Linked DNA regions of Oryctolagus cuniculus. The protein of the gene in region 1 interacts with the protein of each later gene in a pairwise test. Links are inferred from orthologs where the notes say so. Each region holds a gene or a part of one and is shown in the gene's direction. Other genes may lie near its edges.

Region 1 (3,904 bases):
AGACACTGATGAATTTGTTGAATGAAGAAATAATTTTTTTCTTTTGCTTTCCATATTGTCTGGCCTGTTTGGCTGATGCTCATGCTTCCCTGAGCCTTACTAAAGGGAGTAGTGCTTCAAAAGAGGAGTCCACTGAGTATAGTAGGAGTGAAGGCTGGAGACGAGCTAGGGAGGAAATTGATACCATTGTCTGGTGAATGATCTCAGCTTCTTGAAAGTGACAACTGAATTGAGATTTAGGCAACCTTGGTTTGGGTGAGGAGGGATTTGGGTTTACCCCATGTTTCAATGTTTTCTGGTTTTGGTTTTTTGGAGTTGTGTGCCTTTAGAGAAATTACTGTGAATCTCCTTTTGAACTTCAGCATTTTTCTGAAGGTTCCAGATCTGTTAGTGGTTTTTCTGATGATGCTGAGGTTTGTGCTTGGCATTCAACAGGTTTATCCTTTAAGGAAGGAAGCACTAGTGCTTCTGCCTCATTGTGACCCCAGGCTTACCTCCTTGAACCCTAAGGGAAGTTGTTGACTCATTTTATTTCCTGGGAGGCAAAGAGAGTTTGTGCTTTTGCTAATCATGGTGACTATTAATAAATAGTTTGTGACAGATATTGTATTTGAAAGGCAGAGTGACAGAGAGAGGGAGGGAGACAGAGATCTTCCATTCTGTGATTTACTCCCCAAATGGCCTCGATGGTCAGGGCTAGGCCAGGCCAAAGCCAGAAGCCTGGACTTCATCCGGGTCTCCCGTGTGGGTGGTAAAGGCCCAAACACTTGGGCCATCTTCCACTGCCTTCCCAGGTGCATTAGCAGGGAGATGGATCCTAAGCAGAACAGCTGGGACTTGAATTGGCAGTCATATGGGATGCTGGCTTCATAGATGGTGGCTTAACCTACTGTACCACAATGCTGGCCCCACATTTCAATATTTGTTGTCTAGCTAAAAACAATAAGCCTGTGAGATAGGTACTACTATAGTCCCCATTTTACAGGTAAGAATATCAAAGTCCAGAGAATTTAGCTAATTTGTTCTGCCAAGATCACAATTAAGCAATGGCATGGTTGGAATTCAGACCTAACAGACTGAGTACCAAAACCCTGCTCTTAACCACTGTTCTATACAGTCAAAGACTATTTTCATTTCTCTAATGCAGAGATGGAGGATGTCCAGCCTGTGGGCCATAAAAGGCCTATGAAATCATTCGGTTTGGCCCTGCTAAGTCAACTGCTGGCAGGATTTGAAATTCAATAAATCTATAGCAGGCTCATTTTTAAGTTGATAATTTTGTATGGCCTACGAATGATGTTATAAATATCTGAAAGGCTCTTGGCAGATAAAAGGCTCTCTACTCTTGTAAAATTGCTATGCAACCTTTATTTCTGTTATGTCTTCAATTATTCTTAGGCCATAGTTCCCTGACCCTGGGGCAAGATTACTTGGGGCCTTCCAGCTGGGACATTAGTACTGAAAATACTAGGAGCTGCTAGAACGAGGAATGTAATATATACTAGATATTGCTCCTTGTGACCTTGGCTGAATTTCCTTCCTTTGAGCTCTGCTGCAGGGTTGACTTCATCTATCTATTCTTTTTTCCCTAATTATGATTTTTAGACTGGTGGGCCTTTCAGGTTGGAGTATCTGTTAGCACTGATTTCACTTCCTCTTTCTAGTTCAAAAGGTGATGACTTATCAACAGCCATTCTCAAACAGAAGAACCGTCCCAATCGGTTAATTGTTGATGAAGCCATTAATGAGGACAACAGTGTGGTGTCCTTATCCCAGGTAAGTTGGGTCCACAGTCCTGTCTTTCCTTATGGTACTTACTTGAGGGATTTTCCCAGGTTTCTTCTCTCATTTTTCTTGCAGTGACCGCAGATAGAGTGGGGTTTACTGGGAATCCCAACCTCCAGGGCTGCTGCTTACCCCCTTCTGCCCAGTGACCCAAAGGCCTTAACCTTCTTTCCTCAGCCCAAGATGGATGAACTGCAGTTGTTCCGAGGTGACACAGTGTTGCTGAAAGGAAAGAAGAGGCGGGAAGCTGTGTGCATTGTGCTTTCTGATGACACATGTTCTGATGAGAAGATTCGAATGAATAGAGTGGTTCGGAATAATCTTCGCGTACGCCTAGGGGATGTCATCAGGTGTGTGTGGGGGATTCTTGGCCCCTCCGGGATGGGAGGCCAGACATAGCTTGCATTATAGCCAGGATGAAATCTTCGGCAGCTGCAGTTAGAGGAAGCCTCCTGGCTGGGAAGACTCATATTTTGTTGTTGTCTTTAGGTTTCTGTTCTGCCTTTCTGAGACTTCAAAATCTGCTGCTGCATGACTTTTTGATATGTTTGTTTTTTCCTACCAGAAGTGTAACCCACCATACCTTAGACCCTGGTTTTGGATGCCATTTGAGGGTGTCTCTCTGCCAAATAACTTCCTCACTACTGTGTTGAATTAATGGCTTGTATTAGGGACTGGGAAGGGAGTGTAGATCTGGGTATGGAAGGTGGGTGCCTAGCAGGTCTTTTTTTTTTTTTTTTTTTTTTTTTTTTTTTTTTTTTAAGATTTATTTGAAAGCGTGGCAACAATAGAGATCTCTTGCATCTTCTGTTTAGGCTGGGCCAGGCAGAAGCCAAGAGCCTGGAACTCCCTCTGGGTCTCTCACAGGGGTGGTGGGGACTAGGTACTTGCACCATCATCCACTGTGCATTGGCAGGGAACTGGATCTGAAGCAGAGTAGATAGGACTCAGACTGGCACTTGCTGCTCCATAATACCAGCCCCTTCTAGCAGGTTTTCAAGGATCCAGATCTAATGCAGGGTAGAGGTATCTCCAATGTGAGTGATTTTTTTCTTGTTATATAAATGTAGGCAAGAGGCTCTCCCATCTTGGAGTCATCTCTTGCCACTGCTCCCCAGCCACCCACCATCAGGCCAGTATCATCTGAAGCATCTGATTCTTTTTCATGGAGTCTTGGGGATGGGGGTGGAGGGAGGGTATTTAGGCACTTTATCAAGGTGTTCTGATTTCCTGGCTGAGAACGTTTTTAATTTTTTCACTTCTATTTCTCTGAACTTTGACACCAGATCAAGATCTCCCTTTGTAATAATGGGTTACCAGTGTTAGTTAGAAGGACTATCTTTGGATATCTTTCTTTGTAGACCCCACATGTCGTCTTTGTGAGCATTCTAAATGTTCTTTATTTGGGCTCTTTGACTAGGATTTGGCTGCCCTAGTGGCTTCTCCTCCTGTCCTACCCTGAATGTGACTTGTCTTAGTTCTGCTTCGCTGTTTCTTTGCCTTTACTCCTACCCTGCTTTCCTTTCTTTCTTCACCTAAATCCATCTCTGTTTTTCTCTTTGAATTGCCATCAGCTGTCTGTGCCAGGCCCTTGTGGACACACAGTGCTGGTGCTGCAGTGCAGTTGGTAATGTGGAGTCTGCTTGTCATCCTCAGCATCCAGCCATGCCCTGATGTGAAGTATGGTAAACGGATCCATGTGCTGCCCATTGACGACACAGTGGAAGGCATCACTGGCAATCTCTTTGAGGTGTATCTTAAACCGTACTTCTTGGAAGCTTATCGACCCATTCGGAAAGGTAAGTGATAATTCTGGGGATTGAGCTTAAGGATGATTAGAGGGATACTTGGAAAATGAACCCCGCAGTGTTTCTGTATTTTTGGTCATGCATGCATCCTTGTACATGTTTCTATGTTTTCTTTCCCTCTATCTCTACTCCAGGAGAGTAAGCTATCCTTTCATGTTTCTTGGAGGGAGAAAGTGGTCCATTTTGGCTGTGTCCACAGTCCAAAATGTATAGCTGTACAATTGGTGGTTGTAGTAAGAGCTTGAGCTGTCTGTACCTCAGAAGTTAAAACTTTATGGGCTTAGGACACATCAGGTTTTATTCATTGCGCT
Region 2 (4,625 bases), on another chromosome or scaffold:
TTACCATAGCACTTCCAAGAAGAGTGCCTAGCTCATTGTACATAAATACTTGATGAAGGAATAAAAAGTTCCACATGATTCTTAGGATACTTTTTTAAAAAATATTATTTAAAAATGTTTAGTTTCAGCATAGTTATAGACACAATTCTTAGAATGATATTCCCTTCCTCCCTCCCTCCTCACTCTCCCTCCAGCTGTCCCTCTCTTTCTTGTTTTTAAGTTTTTGAGATAATATCTTTTTAAATATATTATTATTATGTTATTTATATAACAGTAAAAAGACTTAATGCTTCAACAAATAAGAAGTTTAACAACTAAATAAATTATACAAACCCTTAACTAATAGTTACTAGGAACCATGCAATTCCATTAAAGTATTAAATGTCAATCATTTTTATTTGAATGGCAACGAACCACAAGTACCTTACGTTGATTACAGGCTGATATTATCCCATAAAACGGGAAGTGAGATAATTTTCTTTTGTACTACCATGGAAAGTGGCTGGAAAATAAGTCATTATTCTCTGATTTTGTGTTTCCTTTGGTGTAGCCATAGTTAGCCTTTTTTTTTTCTTAAGATTTATTTATTTATTTGAAAATCAGAGTTACACAGAGAGAGCAGGAGAAGGAGAGAGAGAGGTTTTCCACCTGTTTGTTCACTCCCCAGATGGCCGCAATGGCCAGAGCTGTGCCGATCCAAAGCCAGGAGCCAGGAACTTCTTCCAGGTCTCCCACCCAGGTGCAGGGGCCCAAGGACTTGGGCCATCTTCTACTGCTTTCCCAGGCCACAACAGAGAGCGGGATCGGAAGTGGAGCAGCCAGGTCTCGAACCGGTTCCATATGGGATGCCGGCGCTTCAGGCCAGGGCGTTAACACACTGCGCGCCCGTCCACTCCGTCTTTGTCCGGCAGGTACCGCGCAGCGCCAGGCCGACGTCATAGGGAAGCCCAGCCGCTTCACCTTCCACTGCGTGCCCCAGGAGGACGGCAGCAACCCGGAGCGCACCGTCATGGTGGGCGACCGCCTGGATACCGACATCCTGCTGGGCGCCACAGTTTCAAGGTTTTGGAATGATCTTTACCCGATGTCTAGGAAATTCAGGGTCTTTATTGTACCAGTGTCTCCCTTCAGGCTGTATGGTATTGCAGAGAGACCGTGGTGGTTTTTATCCTGTCTTTTCTACAGGACTGGGCTCAATTCAATAAAAACCGAAGCCTGGCAATAAATTCCTACAAGGCCTATTTAATTCCATGCGCGGACACATTCCTCCACTTTCAGGGTTTCAGTGAGGATAACAGAGCGGCACTGCCTTTCCTCCCTCCGTCCTTCAACGCGTAGTGGCTCTCAGTACTGCCCCCTTCAGTCGTGTCTCAGTAGTCACATTTTTCCACAATATGGAGGCCCACAAGCCCAAGAAGACTACAATTCCCGTCATGCCTCTCGGCAGGCGCCTCCAAACAAGCCGTAGCGGTTACTCATCCTTCCTCTGCCTCCTTCCACTTCCTGGTCTGCGAGACCTGAGGTTCTAGCGGGAGCGCGCACGCACTGACTCGCCCACGAAACAAGGTATTGGGGCCCTGAGCCGGCGGCGACGTGTGGCGTCACGTGGTACGGGGCGGTCCCCACGCGCGCGCTTGCGCACGTCGCAGTGGGCGGCTGACGGGCGTGCGCGCTAGTGCGGAGCCCGAGCCGGAGGCGGGGGCCGGACCAGCCGGGGCTGCGGGGGCTGCGGGGCCGCAGGGCCCGACGAAGCGGTTGGGCGGGGCCAGCTCCTCCGGGACCGCGGCGACTACACCCCGACCGAGCGCCAGGGCCCGACAGGAGCGATGTTGTGGTTCCAGGGCGCCATTCCGGCCGCCATCGCGTCGGCTAAGAGGAGCGGCGCGGTCTTCGTGGTGTTCGTGGCAGGTGAAGGGGGCGGGGGCCCGAGGTGCGGCCGGGACAGGCTCTCCGGCCTGCCTTCACCCACTCGTTAGTTCAGCCGCCGGTCTTCCGTCCTCGAGACGCGGGCACTTCTCGGCTCCGCGCCCCAGGGTCGGCTGCAACTTCTCCCCGCTGGGTGCCCCGCAGCGGGCGTGCAGACGCCCAAGGCCAGGCTCCTGCAGGCCGCAGGCGCCCGCAGCCTTGCCTTCTTGTCCGGAAGGGCACGGGCGGCCCTGTCTGGGAGGCGGCAGGCCTGGCAGCCAGGCCAGAGGCCCCGGCCGGGCTCGGGCGCCCTCCTGCGTGCGGCGGGCGGACCCTGGCGCCCCTCCCCGGGCCCGAGCACCTTCCTCGGATGCCTGAACGCCCGTTGATTCCTCCTCCGTGGGTGGGGGAGGGACGGGCCATTAGGCGAGCAGTTGGACTGCTAATTGGCTGTGGGCTGTCAGGGAGAAAGCTGTGTCATCGGTTGAGCAACAAAGAGAAACCACCTGATGGTCACGGTTGCGGGCGTTGGTGTGCTTCTGACATGTAAACTTTACAGGGGCTTTTTTTTTTTTTTTTTTTTTTTTTAACGGCAGTATTGAGAGAGGCTGCCTAATGTGGATACTCTGCTCCAAGTGGAATTTTTTTCGTCCCCCTGTCGGTCTAAAAGTAGTAGACATAAAGTCTTTGGTTCTTCTTTCGGTTTTCCTAGCCAGAGTCCACATAGTTTTGAGAACATTTACGAACTCATTTACCCTAAGCTGCTCTCGATTATTTTGCCCCACGTTTTGCTGTTTTATTTTTGAAATTTATACAGATCTAAGAAAGCTTCCTCTATGGCTTTCCTTGACGGCTGTTAATGTAAAATGTATTTCTTCAATTATTTGTGTTTGATAGTGGCTTAGAATTCATTTCACGACTTTGAATAGTTCTATAACTTGATACACTGCAATGAAAACCAAGTTGCTGAAATATTTTACATTAATATTTTATTAAATTTTTGGCTGCATGTTGTTTCTTAGAAAAGCTTGAGTAGTTTGTCCTCTGAGGGGAAAAGAAGTGGATTAAAAATGAAGTTAAATGACATGATTTTTAAAAATGTAGTAATGAGTTGCTGATCCTTTAAATTGTATTGTTCATGTAAAATCCCAATTGATCTTCGTGATAGGTAGAGCAGATTTTATTATTCCCAATTTACAGATGAGGAACTTAGGACCACAGTCATAAAATGATTTGCACCGAAAAGAATTTACATCTTAAATTTTATTTACATTACATTTTTTAACAGCTTCAGAAAAAGTGTCTTTCTGTTTTTCAGGAAAAAAACTAAACACTTAAATAGTCTGTTTATGTATTAATTAAGTTGATCAGGAAATCTAGGATTTTGGTAATTTTTTTTAAAGATTTTATTTATTTACTTGAAAGGCAGAGTTAGAGATCTGCTATCTCCTGGTTCACTCCCCAAATGGCCACAACTGCCTGGGCTGGGCCAGGCTGAAGCCAGGAGCCAGGAGCTTCTTTCTGGCCTCCCGTGAGGGGGCAGGGGCCCAAGCACTTGGGCTATCTTCTACTGCTTTCTCAGGCCATAGCAGAGAGCTGGATCAGAAGTGGAGTAGCCAGGACTTGAACCGGCACCCATATAGGATGTGGGCACTGCTGATGGTGGCTTTACCTAACCTACTATGCCACAGTGCTGGCCCCATGACTATGAAATATTTGCTGAAGACTACTAGCTATCTAACAAAGAAATCTGTCCCTAGACCTGTTCCCGAAAACAGCTTTTAGAGTTTAAGCTAGTTAATCCCCAGCACTAAGTAGGATTAGTGTCGTTCTAGGAATGTGTACGCTGGGCTCATGAAACTAACGCTTACAGATTGCCTGAAGCTTTGTTCATTACTTTCCTTCCTTCCTTTTTTAAAAGATTTATTTATTTACTTGAAAGGAAGAGTTAGAGCTAGGGAAAGACAGAGATATCTTCCATCCACTGGTTCACTCTTCAGATGGCCACAGTGGCCAGGGCTGGGCTGGTCTGAAGCCAGAAGTTTCATCTGGGTCTCATGTGAATGCAGGTACCCAGCTATTTGGGCCATCTTTCCCTGCTTTGCCCATAACTTTGAAGAATATAGCCAGAACATCACCTTTTTTTTTTTTTTTTTTTTAGATTTATTCATTTGAAAAGTCAGTGGGAGAGAGATCTTCCATCTCTCCCCAGATGGCTATGACAGCCCTAGTCCAGGCCAGGCCAAAGGCAGGACCTTCTTCTGGGACTCCCATGTGGGTAGCTAAGCACTTGGGCCATCTTCTGCTTTTCCCAGGCTGTTAGTAAGGAGTTGGCATCCACAGTGCAGATGCTGGCATTGCAGGCAGTGGCTTTACCCACTGTGCCACAATGCTGGTTCCCAAGATGAATTTCTTAGATATGAGACCTCAATAATAATTTACCAACTCACTGGTAAATTAAAAAGATATATTATAGCTGGAAAAAGTGGCCTGAAGGCTAGACTTACTGTTGAACTATTCAAATGTGAAGCATTTTAGGCAAAAGTTGTTTTATTTATTTTTAAGATTTATTTATTTCAAAGGCAGAGTGACAGAGTAAGGGAGAATCAGAGATCTTCCATCTGCTGGTTCATTTCCCAAATGTCCCCAACAGCCAGATTTTGCCAGGTCCAAGCCAGTAGCTGGCTCTCCCACTAGTGGCAGGATCCCAAGTACTTGAA
Region 3 (3,904 bases), on another chromosome or scaffold:
TAAACAAATAAAATCCTAAAAACAGTGGTTAATGAGTCTTCTCCTAGAGCTGCTGAATCAGAAATTCTGCCTCTGAACAAGCCTACCAACAACTCCTCCAGGGGTTCTGATGATAAAGGTTGGGAGCTACGGATCTGCAGAATGGTGAAGTCCCTAGAATGGGGAGAAGCTGTATATCACAGTCTTAGTAGGCTCTGAAGATTGTTCAGTAACTTCGTGGGTGGCATTTAAATTCCATGTCTTCAGTTTCAGGTTTAAGGCTCTGTAGAATGGCTCACCATTGCATCATATTCAAGTTTCCAGGTACTACCCACGGAATTACAGCTCCCAAGCTCCTATAAAGCACTGGCAATTGAGGAGTGAAAAATCTTTCATAGTGCGAACAAAGATATACGCAACGAACAAGGGATTAATTTCTAGTGGCAGTCTCCTAATTTTGTATTCATAGCGTTGTATGCATGCTAGGCTACATGTGCAACATCTGCTGAAATACGTCAGGTAATTGGGCATCCAGCAGTCCTATTTGCATGCAAAGGTGGTTGCACACCTCACATTTACAGGTCTAAAATTAAAGCCCACTTTGAAGCTGGCTGGAGGCTCTCAGAGAGGAAAATAAGGAGATAAAGAAGAAATGGCTTCTGCTAATCAGTACTTTTGGCCTCTACTGTTCAATCCGTGCTAATTTGCTCTTTGAGATTGTATAGTCCAGGTTGAAGAAAGGGACTTCTAAGAGTATCTGGCATTTGTGTTAAAAAATCTAGTTATAAGCTGGTTGTGTTTCTCCATAGCATTCCCCGTAAAACTGTACCCACATGGTGTGCTGCCGTCTGTTGCTGCGCTATAATTTTGAATTATGGAGCATTCGTATTCTTGTGGGACCTCACACACTGTACCGAGAAGGGCCACCCCAGCACAGACTCAACGACTGGACTCGTGGCATCATTTGGACTACGCGTCAGTTGATCATGGTGCCTGCTCTCCAAAGCTCATACTATTTTAACAGCTTCCCAATGTCTCAGTCTTTAATACTTTTGGTTAAATGAAGTCTTCCTCTATGAAGACCTTCCTTGCTTCTTTGTCTCCTGATTATGCTCCTATGTGTGCCCAGCAGAGAGAAGAACCTGGTAGGCCTATGCCCAGAAAAGTCGAATACTAATAGCACAAGACTGTGTCCATTTGAATACTTAGGTACATCTTCAAGAGGAGACGGCCTGTGCTCTCAGTGTGTGGGAACAGGGAATGCACCAGTGTTTTTTTGTCTGCCCCATGTGGCTCACAGGGAAGAGCATGCCAGTTTTAAAGGGAACTTAGCCACAAGTACCACCTACAAGAACAAAGAAGTCCTACAAGGCCATTCTACCAAGACCCAGTGGTGAAGCAGTCACTTGTCACATCACTACTTTCTAAGAGCATACTTCTAAAAGTTCATGGAAAATGGACTTAAAAATAGGTTTTGTGTCTCAGAATTTGAAAACTGAGTATGAGAGGTTTTCAAAGTGTCCTTGAAAAATGCATGTAATGAAAAGGAGAGCATGGATTTCAAAATTTTTTTGGCACCAAGATAAACTTATCTTAATTACATTTTCTCAGAACATATTGAAGTACCCCTGTATTTCTGTGTTTGGCCACATCCATTTGTCTTGCTTTGACAATTAGATTGTAAGGTCCTGGAGAGCAGATCTGGGCCTTAAGAATACCATCTTCTACAGTACCCTGTCTGCTGCCTTATGTGTGCTGGTTTTTCTTATGATAATAAGCGATTTTTTTTCCCTCTTCATTCTAGCACAGGAGCATATACCTTGATAGCACCAAATGAACACCGGAGAAACCAGATACAAAGGAGTATGTATGCTTATTCATTTACCATTCAAGTACCTCTCACTTTCTTTCCAGTCGGTTGGTTTTGGTCTGAAGTCTTTTTATCTTCTCATTTGTACAGGTGCACCTGATCTCATCAAAGTTTTTTTCTTTTTAACTTTGGCAGTTTTAATTGTGCCTGTCAGAATGATTCTGCTGTTAACACTTGTGAATCTGTTTCGCTACAAGAGTAACAGAACTCAGTACTTTTTTGGATTTCTCTTGGGCTTACGCAGCTTCACAAGTTACCTATATACTGAGCTCATCCCTGTAAAGTTAGACAGACTGCTGATGCTTTATGAGTACTTTTGAAACAGACAAGTGAGATGCCAAATTGATCATGACATGATTTGTACCTTTCTTGGTTTGTCCCATTCCTCTGCGATACCATTTTTCTTTATTCTCTGCATGCCCATATTTTGTAACCATCAGAATCTACCTCAGCTGTTTTCTGTATTTATTGATGGTTTCCAGCTGTTTTTATTTGTGTGGTTCAGTTTCCTTCTGTTAGTTATAAACTCCTTGAGGACAGGGACCACATCGTACTTGGTTTTGTACTTAGTGTCTATATAGTATGTTTAATTGAAATATGGGAAATATAAATGCTACCATTTGGACTTAGCATAGCATCTTTCAGAACTGGAAGGAGAAGTTCATTTACTTCACAAGGACATCTGAGGCTTGTTCAAGTCAAGCTGTGGTGCTAGGACTGAACTCCAATGCTCTTTATTAGATTGTTGATGGGAGATTTAATTTTGCGATTAATGATGGACATAAGGGCACAGCAGGAAAGCAGCTCTCCAAAGCCCTCCTCTCCCAGGCAGGTAGCCCCCTGTGTGGTACAGTTGGGTAGTACAGCTTATGAGAATCATAGCTTCACAGACATTTGCTATATATCTATGGGTACTGCTGGCGGTAGACCAGCAGAAACCCAAAAGCTTTGGCATCTTCAAACTTTTGACTTAAATATTTAACAGGATTCCTTCCTTCCTTCCTTCCTTCCTTCCTTCCTTCCTTCCTTCCTTCCTTCCTTCCTTCCTTCCTTCCTTCCTTTCAATAATCGTATTATAAGCGAGCGTTTGGATTAATCAGGTTTAAGAGAAAATTAGGGCATGCCCTGGGCAGAAAACAGGGCAGGTGTCTCTCTGGCGCCCCCTGCTGTCACACTCCCTGGGGAATAGGTTCTGCCTAATGGTCCCCAGTGTCAGGAACCTGAGCAAGGGTGCCCACCCACACACAGACCCTTGTGCCCCACAGTTGCAGTAAGCGTGGGGGGACACTTAAAGCAATATGGGCACCAGAATTCTCTGGGGGAAATGTTTACCTGTGTGTGAAAAGTTCTTACTGGCATGTTCTAATATTCTAATTGTCAGCATATTTTCTATAGGAACCCTTTAAAACTAAGCAAGAATGGGAAGAAAAGCTATACTCCCTCATTTTAGTAGAAATGCTGGTTGTGAAAATTCTTGTAGAGGAAGTGCCCCAGGCGTGGGCCCAGGGTGGCCCGGAAGGGGTAGGGCTGGAGGGTGTTTTCTTACCCTGGAGAACATATCCACTCATGCTTGCTCGAGTTCATCGCCCTCTGATGGTGGTTTTATGCATGAAGGTGCCAGTCTCCTTTTCAGCGTCTAACGATGGGTGCTTTGATTTTTCTCACTTTGCTTAGTTGCTGAGCAAGAGCTGGCAAACCTGGAGAAGTGGAAAGAACAGAATAGAGCTAAGCCGGTGCACCTGGTGCCTAGGAGGCTAGGTAAGCAAGCAAACTCGGTGCCTGAATGGGTGTGGGGGAGGGGAGGGCAAGGCCCCCAGGGATCCTGCTAGCCCCTGTGTGTCTCTGTTTGAATGTATATTATAGGTTGTTTGGTGGGGTGAAATTCACTTAAAGCTGAGACCTTCAAGTGTGCACGCCACCGTGATGCAGGAATGAAGTGATGACTTCATTGCCAAATAATTTAGATCTTCTTGGATGATCAACCCTGAAGAATGCTTACCTGGCGCACTGCTGTGCCCTGTCATAGCACTAGTCAGGAGGAGAGGAAGAGCTAGC
Region 4 (4,534 bases), on another chromosome or scaffold:
CTGGCTCCTGGCTTCAGATTGGCGCAGCTCTGACGGTTGCAGCCAATTGGGGAGTGAACCAGCGGATGGGAGACCTCTCTCTCTCTGCCTCTCCTTCTCTCTCTGTGTAACTCTGACTTTCAAATAAGTAAATAAATCTTAAATAAAAAAAAAAGATTATAGTTTTTCAGCCTCAAGACTTACACACCTTATTTTGGGCCAGTGTTCTGGCACATAGGTTAAGCAGCCACCTGTTGTGCCAGCATCCCATGTGAGTGCCAGCTGTGTCCCACCAACACCGTGGCGGCTGCTGGGCTTCCAAGAAAACGGCCCAAGTGCCAAGTCCCTGCCCCCCCACGTGGCAGCCCTGGATGGAGTTCCAGGCTCCTGGCTTCCTTGCAGCCATTTGGGGAGTGAACCAACTGAAGCTCCCTCTCTCTCTCCCTCCTTTCACCTCTCTTTCTCTAACTCTTCCTTTCAAAGAATTAAATTAAATTAAAAAAAATTTAAAAAAAAAAAAACACCAAAGGCAAGCGAAACAACAGGCCTGAGAAATCACTCAATGGTGAGCCCTGCAGGGCTGCAATTCACAGGATTGCAGGAGCTTCTGAACCCGAGCCCAGGCTACACCATAGACCAAGGTAAGTCAGACGCCCTGGGGGCTGAACCCACGCAGCAGAGCTTATCCCCTGGGGTGGTTCTGAACGCGCAGCCCAGGTTGCGAGCCACGGCCATCAGTCTTCGTGCACTTCTGGAAGGAGAGACCAGGCTCCACATCCCTCACCGCCACTCTCGCCCCTACACAGCTTTCCCAAATACACCTACACAAGGTCAAGCATGGAATGCAATGCTTTCCTCCTACCTGGAGCCACGAGGATGCTGCTGGGCATTTAGCGAGCTAGGGCTTTCGTGCACGTCGCACCTGCGCCGGGCCGCACAGAGGCCCCCACCCCCCCCCCACACTTGTCCCATCTGCTCGGGGTCCTTCGGACCTCAGGGGCCGGCTGGGAAGGCGGAGGGCACGGCGCGGGGGCCGCCCACCCAGCTGGGCAGGATCGCGGTGGGGAAGTCCCCAGCCGTCCCCGGAGAGGCCGGGCGCCTGCAGGGCTGCGGGACGCGAGCCTGGAAGGACCTGGTACTTACGCAAGTGCCGCCCAGCTTGTGGCTCTCCACCACGGCGGCCCTGGCGCCGAGCTCGGCCGCCCTCCGGGCGCTCGCCAGCCCGCCCGAGCCGCCCCCGATCACCAGGTAGTCGTATGCGGTCACGCCGGCCGGCGGCGGGCGCTGCTCCCGTGCGCACGCCATGGCGCGGCTGAGGGCGCGCAGGGCCCCGGCGGGGCCGCTTAAAGGCGGCGGGAGGAGGGAGGCGGCGCGCGCCACACACAGCCGGCCGGGTCCCGCGCGCGCGCTCACGGCCCGGGGCAGCAGGGCCATGCACGCGGAAGTGGCGGCCGGGGGCGGGTCCCCGGCGGCGGGGGCCGCGGACCCCGGGCCGGCGCAGCCTCACCGTGACTAAGCACCCGCGGCGGGGGCGGGGGAGCGCGCGCTGGGGGCTGGGGCTCCCCGGGAGGCGGGGCGCTGCCCGGTCCGCCTGCCGCCAGCTCGGCCGGCTGCACCTGCCCCGGCTGCAGGGCCCCGTGCTTTCTCCGCCCCGGGCACCTGGACGCCGCCGGCACCCGGAGGTCCCCGAAGGCGCGTGGTGGCCTCTGGGAAGAGAAGTTCGTCCCACCCTGTTATTTTCGGGGTTGGTGCTTCTGCACGGCTGTGTGGTGAGCGCCTGCGGTGCTGATTCCTGGGCCCCAACCGGGGGGGGGGGGGGGGGAGGCGCGCCCCCAGGAAGTGTCGTTTTAAAGGACACTTTCCCGCCTTCTGCTGATTCTAATAAAAGCATGTAGCGTGAGAAGCATTGACATAATGGGTTGAATCAAAAGCACGATTTTTGTGGTCCACCAAAGAAGTATAGAGAGTAAAGGTGGAGACACAAACGTGTTGTCCTGGGCCGGTTACAGTCGCGGGACAGGGGCCTCTCATATCGGATTGCCAGGCTGGAAGCCCAGCTGCAGCCTGCTAACGCACCTGGGAAGGCAGGGGAAAATAGCCCAAGTGCTGGTACGTGTGCCGCCCACGGGGGACACCCGGATAGAATTCCTGGTTCCAGGCTGGCCTGGCCCAGCCCCTGCCCTTGGCCAGGATTTGGGGAGTGAATCAGCAGCTGGAAGATCTTTCTCTCTGCTTGTCGCTCTGCCTTTCAAATAAATAAATGAATTTTTAAAGAATTGTTATCCCCCAAGATGTGAGCTTTGCAATATCTAGAACTACCAATTACACACAAAAAAAAGCCTAGGTGCCTTGAATTTGTGTCTTGACAGGCCTCAATCCCTTGCCCATTGCCCACAAGGACATGAGTGTCTAGCCCAGGCTGGCACAGCCTCATCATGACCAAGCACCAGGCTCACCATGACTAAGCACCTGGAGGGGTGAGGCTTAGATGCCTAGAGGCAAAGAAATGAAGGTCGAGGTCAGAGAACAGCTAGGCCCAACGCAGGGAATGGAAGCCCGTGGCTCCCTGCTATTGAACATCCTGGAAACTGGTGGGAGGAGTTGCTATAGAACTTCAAAACTGGATCTTCTGGCAAGACCCACTGACACCCAGTGTTCGTTGCCAAGTGCAGGGCAAGGACATAGGCAGATGATGTGCAAATCCCAGACTCCCCAGGGGAGTACAGGTGGTGAATCTCAGAGTTCAAGGTTAGGGGTGAGTGGTGTGTGGTCAGTTCATCTGTGGGCCTTCTGTTGGTCCCCAGTGTGTGTGGCCATCTTTTGGTCAGTGATAGAGACCAGCAAGCTGCCTTTGAAATAACAAAGGTGGGCTCCAACCTGTGTGGGGCTAGGGGTAGACTGGGTACTGGTTTCATTGATCAGGGCCTAGGTGTTCTTGCAAAAGCTCTCAGAATTGAGACTACCATTGAGATGTTAACTGGAGGGTCTCTTACCCTTTTGCCACTTTGTAGTTTAATGGGTTTATCTTTAGAAGAATGAAACCTAGGGCCTGATAAAGTGAGCATCAGGGGCATTACGGATAAGAAGCTCCACTTCAGTCCCCTCTTTTCCTTTTCTCTCCTCAATCTTGAGGTGTATATGGATCATTCTAGCTGCTTCTTGCTGAAATGGAGCATGGTAGGAGGTTTCAAGACTGGAGGAGAGGGGCCTGGCACTGTGGCGCAGTGGGTTGAGCTGGTTCCTGCCATGCTGGCATCCCGTGTAGGCACCAAGTCCCAGATGCTCTGCTTCCAATCCAGCTCCCTGCTGATGCACCTGGGAAGGCAGCAGCAGATGGCCCAGTGCTTGGGCTCTTGTTTGCTACCCACATGGGAGACCTGGATAAGTGCCTGTTCCTGGCTTTCAGCCTGGCCTAGCCCTGGTGGTTACAGCTATTTGAGGAGTGAACAAGCAGATGGAAAATCAATCTCTCTCCCTCTCTCTCTCTCTCTCTCTCTCTCTCATCCTCTCTGGAAGAGAGGAAGTTGGGAAAACCCTTTTCAAATTAGGTTCAACTCAGGAGAGTCTGCATCGTGATGAGGTTTGGCTGAGGTAGTGTCTGCATGATTTGCAGGTCTTTCATCATTTCAAGCAACAACGTATTAATATTCCTACACCCAGAATGCAAACCAGAAAGATCAGTAGTTTGTCTCCAGGGACTTTGATTCTCAAACCAAGTGTAGAGCTATTGGTTAAGGCTCAGTGTGGAGTCAGACAGCACTGATGTGGGTGGGCATATCTTGGAGAGCTAGACAGATGTTCCCAGAGTGATTAAAACATCCTGTGTGAAGAGGGCACACATCCTCCCTTGGGTGACCGTGAGGATGTTTGAAGTTGCAGTCATGTGGTTTGGAGGACTGCCTTCCTCAGTACATAAACTTTATTATTTAACAAGAACAATCCTCTTTGCTTCTAAATAACCCTCTAGGCACATAATACAGAAAAAGCATACTTAGTATGAATGCTCACTCTCCTACCTCTTCTAAGGTACAAAGCAATGATGAGGGTTATGACTTTAGCCTTTTGGGCCAAGGTCCCTGGTGGCAATGCTTTTCCTTTCAAAGTTTCCTGGAAGGTTGCTACTACATATTCAGCCTTTTCTTTTCCTACTGTTTCCATCCACAAAGAATATCTCAGAACTGGAGTCTCCAAGGAGACATTGGTCAGGTTCAACCTGCGGGAATATAGCGTTCAACAACCCATAAGCAGTCACATGTGGGTTCTCCAGAGGGGCTCAGAAGCATGGTGGCTGGGTTTAAAGCTGATGGTTTTTACAGTAATATTTAGGTTGTCAAATGTTTCGGTGTGGGATTTCCCCGGGTGGCTGGAAGGGGCCCCGATCTCCCTGTTGTTCCGAGAGGCTGCATACGGTGAGGTAAGCTGCCCAAGTGAACTGCTTTGCCTCTTGCAACAAACACATCACAAGTGGCCACGACTATCCTCAGACAAGGCAGGCAGCCTTGGATGCTAATATCCAGATTCTCTGAAAAATATGCCATCTGGCATTTCCTTTTTC
Region 5 (3,740 bases), on another chromosome or scaffold:
GGTAACCTCAGTGCAGGCCTCAGAGTCATAATGACTGGGATGTGAAAGTCTTTTGATTACTGAATAAGTGCATGTGAACTTGGGCAAAATATTTAACAACCATCAAGTGGAAATAACAACACCTACTGTGTCTTTTAGACAGGCAGAGTAAACAGTGAGAGAGAGACAGAGAGAAAGGTCTTCCTTTTGCCGTTGGTTCACCCTCCAATGGCTGCCGCAACCTGCGTGCTGCGGCCGGCGCACCATGCTGATCCGAAGCCAGGAGCCAGGTGCTTCTCCTGGTATCCCATGCGGCTGCAGGGCCCAAGGACTTGGGCCATCCTCCACTGCACTCCCTGGCCACAGCAGAGAGCTGGCCTGGAAGAGGGGCAACCGGGACAGAAGCCGGCACCCGGACCGGGACTAGAACCTGGGGTGCTGGTGCCGCAAGGTGGAGGATTAGCCTAGTGAGCCACGGCGCCGGCCCCTACTGTGTCTTTATTGCAGTATTTAAAACATCCCTGGAGCCGGTATTGTGGCACATTAAGGTTAAGCCACTGCCTAGGACTCCGGCATCCCATATGGGAACCAATTCGAGTCCCAACTGTTCTACTTCCAATCCAGCTCCCTGCTAATGCACCTGGGAAAGCAGCAGAAGTTGGCCCAAGTACTTGTGCCCCTTCAACCACATGGGAGACCTAGATGAATCTCCTGCCTTTGGCCTGACCCAGCCCTAGCTGTTGTGGCCATTTGGGGAGTGAACCAACAGATGGAAGATCGATCTCTATGTGTGAGTCTCTCCCTCTCTCTGTAACTCTGGCTTTCAAATAAATAAATCTCAATAAATAAAGTAAAATATCCTCGCCTGGTGTGAGGCTGAGAAGCTGCTGCTTGAACTTCTAGTGTGTGGTGTTAGCCTTTCCTGCTCAACAGACTAAGACTGCTCATTGCAGTGTTTTGGTTTACCTATTTTTGTTCATTTGAAAGGTAGAAAGATAGAGATAATCTGCCTGCTGGTTCACTCTCCAAATACCTGTATAAGCCTGGGCTAAGCAGGCTGAAGCTAGGAGCTCAGAACTCAATCCAGGTCTTCCTGGTGGGCGGTAGGCCAGGTACTTGAGCCATCCCATTACCTTCCAGGTGTGTATTGGCCGGAAGCTGAGATCAAAATCAGAGCTGGGACTCAAACCCAAGTGCTCATATATGGGGTGCAGGCCTCCCAGACAGCATCTGCATTGCTGCACCAATTGCCCATCTATTTTTTTGTAGTTTTTAAAAAGCTTGCAAGATTGTTGCAATCTTATAAGTCTATAAATGAAGGGGCCACACAATGCTTGACCTAGGGTAGGCATTCAATAAATGGTAGATTGTAGTAAGTTTTATAAATTTGTTCAGGGAATAAAAATGGCTTCTAATCTGGCAAGTACTGCATTGCTGTTATATTGCAAGGAACACAGAATCTTTCCTACCATTGATGTGATGATGATTGTAACGACAGCCATCTATCACATACCTGTTTGCCAAGCAGTTTCCATCTCCTTTAATGTGCATAGCAACTGTTCGTTGATGGCATCACTCTCCAAACCCTTATAGATAAAGAAACTAAGGCATTGCTATGTTCAGTATCTTGTCTAAAGTCACAGGCTGCACAAGGGAAGTCAGTAAGTGTTTTGTTAAGTGTGCTTTCATTGTAGGAAAAGAAATATATGTAATTGCACATGGCAGGAATATGCCCACGCTACTTTGTGAACACATCTGTCATTAGCATTGTGACCTTTCTGTCCAGCCTTTGTCTAGTGTATCAGTGCTAAGATCTGCTTTTTTCACTTGGAACTGTGTATCTTTCTGTTACAATGTTTACTATACTTTAGGGAGGAACTTGACACTGATGAATATGAAGAAACCAAGAAGGAAACTCTGGAACAACTAAGTGAATTCAATGACTCGCTGAAGAAAATTATGTCTGGAAATATGACTTTGGTAGATGAACTAAGTGGGATGCAGCTGGTAAGTATGATTTTCTTAGATCAGTGGCAAAGTTCAATTCTTGTTTTCTTTTGTAAGTGTATTTCATACAGAAAATGTGTCCTTTTGGGCTGTCACGTCTAGATGAGTGTCTGCTTATGTATAAAACAGCATATCCTTCCAGATCTTCATGGAGTTGTGTGTTGGCTCCTGTAACATGCACAGAAATGTTTGCGAATGAAAATGGGCAGACTGAGCATTAAAGACCATCTGAGAGTTCCTGCGCGTCCGCTTGTTGGATGCTTTCCTTAGTCTCTGCCTTCTTCTGTGTTCAGGCTATTCAGGCCGCCATCAGCCAGGCCTTCAAGACCCCAGAGGTCATCAGATTGTTTGCAAAGAAACAGCCAGGCCAGCTTCGGACGCGGTTAGCAGAGGTAACGTTTCTTCAAATTGTCCTGGCTTCTGTGTGTGCTTTTTTTCCTAGCCTAATAATTTGCTGATTATGATAGTTTACAGTTTAAAAATTGGCCTCTTGATTTTTAAAGCCACAACCCACAATTTTCTGACAAAATGAGCACTTTGAGCAATTACAGTTGATAATGAATGCAGAGGTAAACAGTCGCTGGCAGTTTCAGTGGCCACTCACCACTTCTCCTTAGACCGTTTCTTTGATGCTTTGCCATCTGCTGCTGCAGCTCTAACTTGAAGTCCCTTTGAGAGTTCATCAGCACCATTGTTGCTGCGCATGTGTGGCCTGTCTCATCTGAGAATTTCAAGCATTTTTATAAACCTGATACTTCCCCAGATGTCTTCATAGACTTGACTGTAGTTAAGGATTAACAAATAGGGGATGCTGTTGTAGTGTAACAAGTGCAATACTGGCATCCAGTATGGGTGCTGGTTTGGTCCTGGCTGCTCTGCTTCCGATCCAGCTCCCTGCTAAGTGCCTGAGAAGGCTGCAGAAGATGGCCCAAGTGCTTGAGCTCCTGTCACCCATGTGGGAGACCTGGACAAAGCTCCTGGCTCCTGGCTTCTGCCTGGCACAGCCCTGGCCATTGTGGCCATCTGGGGAGTCAACCAGCAAATGGAAGATATATCTCTCTCTGTGTGTGTCCTTTTATGTATCTCTGAATTTTAAATAAATAAATAAATAAATCTTTTTTTTTTTAAATTAGTTGTACCTACATGTATTTCAGTAGCATAGTCTTTAAGGACATAAGGGATAGGTGTTTGGCCAGTGTTTGAGTCACGGTTTGTGATGCCTGCCTCCCATGTTGGAGTGCCGGATTCAAGTCCTGCTTCCAGTTCCAGCTTCCTGCTAATGCACATCCCGGGGATCAGCAGGTGGTGACTGAATTACTTGGGTCTCTGCCACCCACGTGGGGGACCTGGATTGAGTTCTGGGCTCCTGGCTTTGGCCTGGCCTGCCCCAGCTCTGTCTGTCGTGGACATCTGGGGAGTTAACCAGAGGATAGAAGTTCTATCTCTGTCTGCCTTTCAGATAAAATGAAAATAAATAAATAAAATTTTGTATAAATGCAGGGTATAGATTTGGGTCAGGCTGACTGGATTTCAGTCCCTGTTCCATTTGCTAAAATATGTGACCCCAGGCAAGTTATTTTATTGAACCTCTTGTACCGCAGTTTTCCTGTCCAGAAATGATTATAAGAATCAAATGAAGTAATGTACAAAAACACTTAGAATAGTACCAATGTATAGAATATGCTATTAGTGTTTTTTGGTGGCAGGAATAATTTACTAGTTTTTAAATTTATTTGCGAGACAGAGATAGATAC
Region 6 (4,498 bases), on another chromosome or scaffold:
GGGCTCTGCCCCTTTGTACCAACCTCCTTCCAACCAGCTGAGGCATTTGAACTTTAAAGCCTGGTATTTGGCTTTGTTCTCTGACCACAAAGCCAGAGCCAGCACCCCACAGCCTGATCTGAGACACTCCACCACCCCCCACCCCCCACCCAGGAAAGCTGCTCTTTTCCCGGTTGGTCATCACACAGGCTGAGCTAGCCCAGGTGCGCCACAGCCGTGCACAAGGACCAGGGATGTGGCTGCTCCTCCGAGGGCCACCAGAGAGCCAAGAGCAGCTTAGGTTGGGCTGAGTTCCGCCCCTCCCCCACCAACTCACCTCCCCCAGACAGCTGGGAAATGACACCTCTGGTGACAGAGCCGGTCCCCAGGCTTCTGCCGGGAGGGGGTGGGGTGCGGCAGTGGAGGAGGATCTCACACCGCAGGCCCTGGGAAGCCGGCGTGGGGGAGGGAAGAAGCTGGCTCCTGTTTGTCTCACAGATCAAGGCCACCAGTCTCCGTCCCCCACTTCCAGGAATGTTTGAGCGCCCCCACCCCACAGCCATCGCCCCCCCCCCCCAAATGCTTCCTCTATCCTGGAAGCTTGCCTTGATCCTGCCCACTCCAGAGGCACAGCTCACCCGTGCCCATTTTCTCCTGCAAGCTGGCTGGGACTACGTGCAGGATTTAGGTGGAGACCAGTGATCGATGGCCTAGGAGGGGGACCATCTCCTACAAGCTATCCCACTGCTGCCGTACATATTTAGTCCTAGATGTGTAATGTGTCGGAGATCCAGAGAGAGAAAAGGAGCTGCCCGGGGGACACATCCAGGAGGCTAGCCCACGTGTAAAGCAGCACCACATAGCAGTGCCACCCTTGCCTGCTGTCCTCCTTCCTCCCAAGGTAAAAAGCCCCCGGCCTGCGGCCAGGTTCAAAGCCAAAGCCCTCGCCTGTCCCGCAGCAGCTGACTCCAGTCTGGGGCACAGCTGGGTCTGTGGCCGGCCTAGACGTGACGATGTCCCCCCCCGGGGGGGTGAGTGCGGGGGGCAGCATGCGCCCTCCCCCTGGGTCTGCTCCAGCTTTGCCTGCCCCTGCTCTGAACTTGGCAGTTTCATAGCCTGCAGCCCCTCGGGGATTTGGTTGGAGGCGGGGCCTGGGGAGGGGAAGGGTCCTCCTCCTCCTCCTCCTGCTCCGCAGGGGCCCCAAACCTCCCTTCAGCCATCCACCTGCCAGGTGACAGGTGGTCTCAGCGCGCATCACCCCGCTCCTCCACTCTGGCAGGAGCGTTCCCGCTCTCCGCTGGGCCCTTCTGATTTCCCCACGCCCAGCCCATTGCGAGTGCCGAAGCTGGGGGGTCACCAGGCATTGCAACCTGGCCAGGGCGAGACCTCGGGCCACGGGGCTGCGGACTGGTTTATCGGAGTCACGGGAGAGGGAGGAGGTGGCCTAGGGTGAGGTGCGGGGCTCCGCGGCGGAAGGCCGGGTAGCAGGGGGCTGCGAGCCTCCAGGACGCGGCGGCGCGGGGGTTTGGGGAAAGCCGCAGCAGTCAGCCAGGGGTGGCGCGGAGGGCGCGCGAGGTGCGGGGAGGGCGCGCGAGGCGCGCCGCGGCGGCCCCGCCCGGCTCGACCCCCGCCCCGCCGGGCCCCGCCCCGCCCCCGCGGCCGCGCTCGCGACGTGTCGCCTGCGAGCCCCGCCCCCGCCCGCAGTGCCCGGGTGCGGGTGACGTGCGGCCGCCATCTTCCCGTCCCGGGCAGCCAGCGCCAGTCGGAGCCAGCGCGAGCCGCCGCCGCTGCCGCCGCCGCCGCCATCACTGCCGCTGCCAAGTCCTCCACCCGCTGCCCCCGCCATGTGAGTCGGCCGGCCGCCCGCCGTCCGTACCGCGCTTCCCCGCCTCGGCCGCCGCCCTGGGAGTGGACCGCGCGGGGAGGGCCCGGGGTCCCGCCCGCGCCCCCGGTGCTCTCGGGGCCAGCCTGGCGCCCGTGACTGCGCGGCGGGCCGGGGAGAGCCCCCGCGGCCCCCGGGCTGGCCGGCGCGGGCGATGGCCGCGCGGGAGGGTGCGGACCCAGCGTCTGCCTTGCCCCGCCCCGGCCCTGTCACCGCGGACGCCTGTCATCCGGTGTCGACCCCAGACCGCGTCCGTGAGGTCGCTCTCATTTGGCAGGCGGGGAAACTGAGGCCCGGAGGGGGGAGGGGGCCTCGCTCAAGGTCACTCAGCTCAGCGGCGATGGGGCTGGACGGAGACCAGGGCTCCCATCGGGCGGCCTTCCTCCCGAAAAGGAGGACTGGAGGGACGACGGATGGACAGGTGGATGGGCGGAGCCCTGGCCGCGGGGCCGGAGTCTCTGGACCCTGGGCCTTAATCTGCGCCTGCTCCTCAGGTCTGCTACCGCTGCCACCGCCCCCCCTGCCGCCCCGGCCGGGGAGGGCGGCCCCCCTGCGCCCCCTCCCAATCTCACCAGTAACAGGAGACTGCAGCAGACCCAGGCCCAGGTGGATGAGGTGAGTGTGAGCCGGGTGGGAGGCCGCAGGCCAGAGCCTGCAGGTGGGCACGCAGGTGTGGGGCCCATCGCGGGTTGGGGGTGATGACAGTTCACAGCTGTGGGTGTGGGGACAAAGACATGCCGAGCCTCCTCCCTGCCTTCGCGTCAGCACACATTTGGAAGGGCGCTGGGGTGTCAAGCAGCCTTGCTAGCCTGCGGTGTGCCAGCCTGGGCAGGTTTGCCCTGGTGACTGACAGGCTCTCTGAGGGTCGCTCTGACATCTGAATGTGTGGCTGCCAGCATGCCCCTGATGTGTGCTCCTTGCATGTCCCCAGGTATGCTAGGCATGTTCTCTGTGTGTCCTTGGCATGTTAACTTGGCGGTATCTGGGTGCATGTTCTGTGTATGGCACCCTGGGCACACGGTCAAGGAGTGCCCTCGTTTCGGCGGGCCTTGGCACACCCCCTGCCTCCTGGGCCCCTCCCCCAGGTGGTGGACATCATGAGGGTGAATGTGGACAAAGTCCTGGAGCGGGACCAGAAGCTGTCTGAGCTGGACGACCGCGCCGATGCACTCCAGGCGGGGGCCTCCCAGTTTGAAACTAGTGCAGCCAAGCTCAAGCGCAAATACTGGTGGAAAAACCTCAAGGTGAGGGCGGGGGCGGGAGAACTGGGGGGTGAATGGAAGGATGGGGGCTTGTCTCACTGACCCTCCCCTCCCGCCCCCAGATGATGATCATCTTGGGAGTGATTTGCGCCATCATCCTCATCATCATCATCGGTGAGTGGGGCGGGAGTGGCCGGGGCCCCTTCTCTGGAGAGGCTCCCCCCGGTGGGTGCAGTCTGGGATGTGAAGGTCACTAACCTAGTCTTCACTCTGGCAAACGCCACATAGCTGCTTAGGGAGCTGTGGGTCCTAGAGCCAGAAAGCCTGTGCAGCCTGCCGGGTGCCTGACTGTTGGCAACGGGAAAGCCGGTGGATCTCCCACTACTTCACTGAGCATCCTTTGGGCTTGAGAGCCCAGTTTGGGAACTGGAACTGGGGAGTGGGAGGCGGAAATGGAGACATGGCCAGGAAGCCAGTCCTGCCGCTGTCTGAGAGCTGGTGAATTGGGTGGGGGTGTGGCTCCAAAGCCATCCCGTGGAGGCACCCATCTGGCCAGCCCCTTGCTTCACAGATGGAGAGACTGAGGCCTCGAGCTGGGGGAAGGGGCAGCAGCCAGCCAGCTAGGGGGTGGGGAGGACCGCAGCAGGGCCGGGCCTGACACCCAGCTCTCTCTCTCTCCCTCCCTCCCCCCTCCCTCTTCCTCTTCCTCTTCCCTCTCTCCACAGTTTACTTCAGCACTTAAATCCCCGAGGAGTCTGCCCTGCCTAGAGAAGGGCCTCTCCCCCACCCCCAGCCGTTCCTCCACCTCTCAGCCATATCTCTCAGCCCCTCCCCGGATCCGTGTGTGTGTGTGTGTGTCTGTGTGTGTGCCCCCTGTAAATAGCCAGCTGTTATTTATACATATATAATATTATATATATTTGGTCTGTTTGTAGTTTTATTACTAGAAGATTTTTCCGGTTGTCCTTAACACCCCTTCCTGAGGTGTCCCCGTCCTCGCCTCTCTCTGTCCCTGTCCCCCCCTTTCCCTCCTGACCAGTCCCAAGTCCCCTCATTTGCATCTGCTATGCAACAGCCCCTCTCCTTCCCCCATCCAGCTGATCCTTCCTTGCCTTCCCCCTCCTCCCCCTCTGCACTCCTCCCACAACAGACAAAAGCACCTGGCCAGGCCTCCCTACATGCACCTTCTTTGCATCCATTGGGAGGCCCTGAGACTGGCCCCACTTGGTCCTGAGAATCCCAAGATCTTCTGGGAGCTTCCAGCGTGTTAATTAGCAGATCATTTGCACACCAACATCCCTTTGGTTTCCTTGTTTTTTGTTCCATCACTCTTCTTTGAACCAATTTCTTTCTTACTGGAAAGTTAGTCCCCAGTAGTCCTTGTGTCACTCTTATTTGCACGACATTACTTACAGGCGGTGGAGAGCCTGGGCTT
Region 7 (4,547 bases), about 180 Mb from region 1:
TATAACTCTGACTTTCAAATAAATAAATACATCTTAAAAAAAAAAAGAATAACACTTGCCTCTGCTGTCTATGGGATCTGATCCCAAGAACATGGACTGGTTCAGAGACTATTCTATTCTCTCTCCATCATTTCAGTATGATTGTTGTGTCCCCAGAGCTGGTGCCTTCCGTGGGCTTCAATGGCAAGTGTGGTTTTGGGGTGCCGAGAGAGAGAGGATATGGAAGACCTCCTGAGTCCCATGCTCCAGTCCTGGATGCAGGCAGAGCCTGTGCGCTGGGCCTCTCGGACTGCCCCTGCCAATTTACATTCTACGATCTCTCTTTGCTTTGAGTTTTTCTGTTCTTCCCCTGCTTCTTCCACACTCACTGATCCTGCGGGTCCCCAGGAGAGCAGCATGCACTCCAGAGCAGGAGCCAGGGCTTGCATTAATTTCAGTGTCTTTGTATCTTGCAGTAAAATAGAAAAGCCTGCATCTGAAGTCCTGTGCATCCTAAGCTACAGCAGATAGATTTCCCCACCCCTCCCCCATCAGCTAATTTTTTAAGAAGACCCGCCACCCCCCGTGCTCAAGTGTCTGTGGTTAAGCCTGGGAATGTTGAGGGCGCAGGTTTGGGAATTGGATAGACACTGCCACCTGGTAGAGTGACCCTGGGCCAGTTCCTTTGAGATCCCCTCCCAAAGCTACTTCTCTAACTTGATTTGCATAACGACAAGCTGCAAACCTTCAGCACCTGCCTGCTGCAACCGCTCCTAGCAGGGACCTCGTAAACCTATCACGTTTCTGTAGTGGCAATTCCTGTTCCTAAGACACTCCTGCCCTCATTTGGCAGGTGGAACAGCCAGGAGCCTGCCTCAGGCTGTGTAATTTGCAAGTCTCTGGGGGTGCAGGGCCACAGCTGCCCTTTGCAGTCCAGTCTCTGTTGTGGCCTTGGACTTTCTTTATCTTGGTGTTTTCACAGTGATCTGGAAACATTTCCTGGTTCTGGCCTCCCACAGTCCTGACCTTCATCTCTTCCTTAAAATGGGTGGTGGTGGTGGTGGTGGTGGTGGTGGTGGGGAGATGGGCTTGGAATAGCTTGAGTTCCTGGACCTCATCTAACAGGCTCAAATCGCCCCCCCCCCCCGGGAGTTTTTGATAAGGAAATGGCCATACAGGCTAAGGAAGACCCCGGCTCACTTGCTGTGGGCTCCGGTACCAGCCAGGCAGCTGCTTAGGCCAGCTATCTCACGCTGATCACAAGCTCGGATGGGCAATTATATATGTCTTTGATTAATAAAAAATGGGGCCATGAATGAATAGTTAATCAATGCAGTCTGGCAGGAAGGCTCTTGCAGAATCTGGGCTGGGGGTGAGGCAGAGTCATCAAAGGGGGCCTTGGGGGTGAGAAGGCAAGGCCCCCTGCAGGGAATGGTTTCCAAAAAGCCTTTCGGTTCTGGGTTCTTGGTTCCTCCGCGGGATTTTCCGGCGGCTCTGGGAGAGACAGAGAGAGGGTTGAGTAGGTGGGCAACATGGGGAGATCCATGTTCAGGTAAAGCTCGCAGAACGCGGTGTGTGCCTTACCTCTGCGGGGCCGGCGCACCTGTGTCTGGAACAAGCCTTAAACTAACTCGGCTCAGGGCGGGAGCGGCCGGGGAGCCGGGAAGCAGAGACACTGCAGGGACGGAAGAGGGTTGCAGAGGGAGAAGAATACGTCCAAAAGGGCTAGTGAGAGCGCGGGCGAAGGGGAAGGAAGTGGTGGAGAACCAGAGGCCTGTCCCAGCCCCTTCCGGGCAGGCGGGCGCGGGCGGAGGCGAGCAGGGCACCGGGCGGGGCGGTGAGAAGCGCGAATCTGAACTACGACGCGCGCGGGAAGAGCGCGGAGAGCTGCGGCGTGGAGCGGGCTGGTAGGAGCGCGGCAGGGCCGGTCGGCGGGCAGCGGCGCCCTGCGAGGAGTGGGCGTGGGGGCGCTGAGACTGGGCAGACCCGGGCCCGGAGGGCAGGCAGCGCGCGGCGGGGGGCGGCCGCGGGTAGCGGAGCGCTGCGCGGGGCGGGAATGGCCTTGGGCACTTTCTTGGGGGGGGGGGGGGAGTTGGTGGATGGAGTCCTAGGCCCGGGTCCTTGGGTGCTGGGCTGTTTCTGGCGCTAGCACAGCCTGCGTGGTGGTGAGTAACTAGCGTGTGACCTTGGACAAGTTTCCTGATATTCCCTGGAACTTTGGTCTCATTGTCAACCAACTGCAGATAAGGAAACTCCAATTTTGCCCGGCTGTTATGAGAATTTGGGTGGGCGCAGACACAGCCCCCTAGTCCCCTGGCCTCACTCAGAGGGGCCGATGGTATTTCAGTGGACAGAGCTCAGAATCGGAGCTCAGCGCCGGGCCTGCTCCCTCACCTGTTGCTGGCAGAACTCTGCATAAGTCATTAAGGTCATCTTTGTCCTGAGGGTGCTGCCCTCCTAACACGGGTGGGCATCTTGCTCCTTCCTGCCACAGAGAACAGTTTTCCACCTGAACTTTCCCTCCGGCAGCCTCCTGTTTCAGGCAGCCTCTGTTTATTTCACAGGCTCTGTTTTGTGCCCAAGCCGCAGACAGAACCAGAGAACTCCAGGAAAGGAAAGGCTCGCCAAAGGAATTTTCCAAGGGCTCAGACGCCAGGACTTGAAGCTGCTGTGGTCAGCCAGGGAGGACAACGTGGGCTTTGAGGCTCAGTGCCTGGGGCCATGGTGGGCCAGGCCCTGCCCCTTCACGTGGCCACCCTGCTGACAGGGCTACTGGAGTGCCTGGGCTTTGCCGGCGTGCTCTTCGGCTGGACTTCCCTGGTGTTCGTCTTCAAAACAGAGCACTACTTTGAGGAGCTGTGTGAGCCGCCGTCTGGAACACTGGGCAACACCACTGGTAAGGAGGGTGATGCCTTCTCCCCGGAAGCTGAGTTCTGGCTCCACCCCTGTGCCTCCTGCCACCCCTTCCTGCACCCTGGTCTAGGGGGGTGCCCGGGAGAGGATTTAGGGACAGTCACATCTCCAGGCAAGCTGTCCAAGTCGGATGGAGGGGATCCTAGGGCAGGTGTCACCGGGCTGGAGGGCTGGGAGGATGGGGCAGTGTGGCCAGTCTGCCCTGGGCTTCTGAGCCTCCCCTTCCCCCTTCTAGATTGCAAAGCCCAGGATGAGAGGTTCTCGCTCATCTTCACCCTGGCGTCGTTCATGAACAACTTCATGACGTTCCCCACCGGCTACATCTTTGACCGATTCAAGACCACTGTGGCCCGCCTCCTAGCCATGTGAGTCCCCCCGGGGCCCCGCGCGTCTAGTGGTGTGGGCAAGAGGCATTGGTCAGGCTGGGAGGGAGACCAAGGTTAGGCAGCTGGGCAGCCCTGCTTGGCCCCGAGCCAGCAGCTGGCAGACACAGCTGTGAGGAGCAGAGCTGGCAGGGCGTGGGGCCGCCCCGTTCCCACAGCCCTGCTTCCCTCTCCTCGCCTCCTTCCCCTACTCCACAGCACTGCAGCTGTCTTCTGTATCTAATTGCACAGGAGCCCGGGCTGACTTTCCATGAGGGCTGCCCAAAGGCCTGAGTTGCGAAATTAGCAACTGCTCTCTGCCTTCTCCCTGGATCCTTTCCTCATCTCCCTATGAAGCCTCACACCCGAGGCTTCTCCTCCTCCTAGTCACCCTCATCACTCAGTCATCACAGAATGTTGTGGGTACCTCCAGTGGTGGAGTTTCAGGCCCCCCTTGTGCTACAGGGGGTGAGAATAGGGCTTCCCATGCAAAGGAGTGGGGGAGGCCAAGAACTCGTGTGCTCCTGCATCCTGGTCTCTGTGGTGGGGTTTGGTGATAAGCAGTGGCCTGCTGGGGGCTGATAGATCCCAGGGAGGCGGGTGTGAGATCAACTGGCAGAGGGAAGCTGGGGGCGGGGCGGGGGGGCGCAGCTGGACCTGGACCAGGAAATAGCTGGGGAGTAGAGCAAGTCCCTTTAGGTGCAAACTGACTGACTGTCTCGGTCCTTCTGGTCTTTGGCTCCCTGGATGCTCTTCTTCCTGCCTTTCTCCAGCAGGGTTCTCAGGGTCCTGCCTCTCTTACCCTCTGCCTTAGAAGATCCTCCTACTCCCCCGTCAGCTGCCAAGGGATTCCTGTAACCTCGGGATGGTGGTCTTGAAACTGTAGCGCTCTAGAACTTTAAGCTTGGAGTCTAGATCAGTCCAGCCATTCCCTCCCTCCCTCCCTCCATCCCTCCCTCCCTCCCTCCCTTCCTTTTCTTTCTCTTAGATTTCTTTTATTTTATTTGAAAGGCAGAATTACAGAGGCAGATAGAGAAACAGAGAGAGAGAGCTTCCATCTGCTGGTTCACTCTCCAAATGGCCTCAATGGGTAGGGATGGGCCAGACCAATGCCAGGAGCTTCTCTCCTGGGTCTCCCCTGTGAGTGCAGGGGCCCAAGCACTTGAGCCGTCCTCTGCTGCTTTCCCAGGTGCATGAACACCCAGGTGCATTAACAGGGAGCTGGATTGGAAGTGGAGCCCCAGTGCCCATATGGGGATGCTAGCACTGCAGGTGGCGGCTTTACCTGTTACA

Evidence for each region.
Region 2: the proteins of VCP (region 1) and UBXN4 interact in binary tests that used the Homo sapiens proteins (3 or more experiments, as listed by UniProt). The link is inferred for Oryctolagus cuniculus from reciprocal best matches to the Homo sapiens genes VCP and UBXN4.
Region 3: the proteins of VCP (region 1) and EPSTI1 interact in binary tests that used the Homo sapiens proteins (3 or more experiments, as listed by UniProt). The link is inferred for Oryctolagus cuniculus from reciprocal best matches to the Homo sapiens genes VCP and EPSTI1.
Region 4: the proteins of VCP (region 1) and UBXN8 interact in binary tests that used the Homo sapiens proteins (3 or more experiments, as listed by UniProt). The link is inferred for Oryctolagus cuniculus from reciprocal best matches to the Homo sapiens genes VCP and UBXN8.
Region 5: the proteins of VCP (region 1) and LZIC interact in binary tests that used the Homo sapiens proteins (3 or more experiments, as listed by UniProt). The link is inferred for Oryctolagus cuniculus from reciprocal best matches to the Homo sapiens genes VCP and LZIC.
Region 6: the proteins of VCP (region 1) and VAMP2 interact in binary tests that used the Homo sapiens proteins (3 or more experiments, as listed by UniProt). The link is inferred for Oryctolagus cuniculus from reciprocal best matches to the Homo sapiens genes VCP and VAMP2.
Region 7: the proteins of VCP (region 1) and SLC43A3 interact in binary tests that used the Homo sapiens proteins (3 or more experiments, as listed by UniProt). The link is inferred for Oryctolagus cuniculus from reciprocal best matches to the Homo sapiens genes VCP and SLC43A3.

What each region holds. Positions count from the first base shown.
Region 1 is NC_091432.1:198,032,177-198,036,080, reverse strand, and holds part of VCP (transitional endoplasmic reticulum ATPase), read left to right. Parts: intron 1-1,664; coding exon 1,665-1,776; intron 1,777-1,860; exon of another isoform or gene 1,861-1,962; coding exon 1,963-2,135; intron 2,136-3,441; coding exon 3,442-3,584; intron 3,585-3,904. UniProt on the Homo sapiens protein: Necessary for the fragmentation of Golgi stacks during mitosis and for their reassembly after mitosis. Involved in the formation of the transitional endoplasmic reticulum (tER).
Region 2 is NC_091434.1:107,844,699-107,849,323, reverse strand, and holds the start of UBXN4 (UBX domain-containing protein 4), read left to right. Parts: upstream 1-1,632; 5' UTR 1,633-1,826; coding exon 1,827-1,908; intron 1,909-2,472; exon of another isoform or gene 2,473-4,625. UniProt on the Homo sapiens protein: Involved in endoplasmic reticulum-associated protein degradation (ERAD). Acts as a platform to recruit both UBQLN1 and VCP to the ER during ERAD.
Region 3 is NC_091440.1:62,127,985-62,131,888, reverse strand, and holds part of EPSTI1 (epithelial-stromal interaction protein 1), read left to right. Parts: intron 1-1,783; coding exon 1,784-1,842; intron 1,843-3,523; coding exon 3,524-3,607; intron 3,608-3,904. UniProt on the Homo sapiens protein: Plays a role in M1 macrophage polarization and is required for the proper regulation of gene expression during M1 versus M2 macrophage differentiation.
Region 4 is NC_091433.1:80,756,156-80,760,689, forward strand, and holds the start of UBXN8 (UBX domain-containing protein 8), read left to right. Parts: upstream 1-1,578; 5' UTR 1,579-1,748; intron 1,749-4,534. Other genes in the region: GSR (glutathione reductase, mitochondrial), read right to left, coding at 1,123-1,413. UniProt on the Homo sapiens protein: Involved in endoplasmic reticulum-associated degradation (ERAD) for misfolded lumenal proteins, possibly by tethering VCP to the endoplasmic reticulum membrane. May play a role in reproduction.
Region 5 is NC_091438.1:158,243,352-158,247,091, forward strand, and holds part of LZIC (protein LZIC), read left to right. Parts: intron 1-1,850; coding exon 1,851-1,986; intron 1,987-2,279; coding exon 2,280-2,378; intron 2,379-3,740.
Region 6 is NC_091448.1:52,652,053-52,656,550, reverse strand, and holds the start of VAMP2 (vesicle-associated membrane protein 2), read left to right. Parts: upstream 1-1,665; 5' UTR 1,666-1,823; coding exon 1,824-1,825; intron 1,826-2,355; coding exon 2,356-2,476; intron 2,477-2,946; coding exon 2,947-3,105; intron 3,106-3,185; coding exon 3,186-3,237; intron 3,238-3,788; coding exon 3,789-3,805; 3' UTR 3,806-4,498. UniProt on the Homo sapiens protein: Involved in the targeting and/or fusion of transport vesicles to their target membrane. Major SNARE protein of synaptic vesicles which mediates fusion of synaptic vesicles to release neurotransmitters.
Region 7 is NC_091432.1:14,692,282-14,696,828, forward strand, and holds the start of SLC43A3 (equilibrative nucleobase transporter 1), read left to right. Parts: upstream 1-1,718; 5' UTR 1,719-1,886; intron 1,887-2,508; exon of another isoform or gene 2,509-2,543; 5' UTR 2,544-2,700; coding exon 2,701-2,875; intron 2,876-3,127; coding exon 3,128-3,257; intron 3,258-4,547. UniProt on the Homo sapiens protein: Sodium-independent purine-selective nucleobase transporter which mediates the equilibrative transport of extracellular purine nucleobases such as adenine, guanine and hypoxanthine.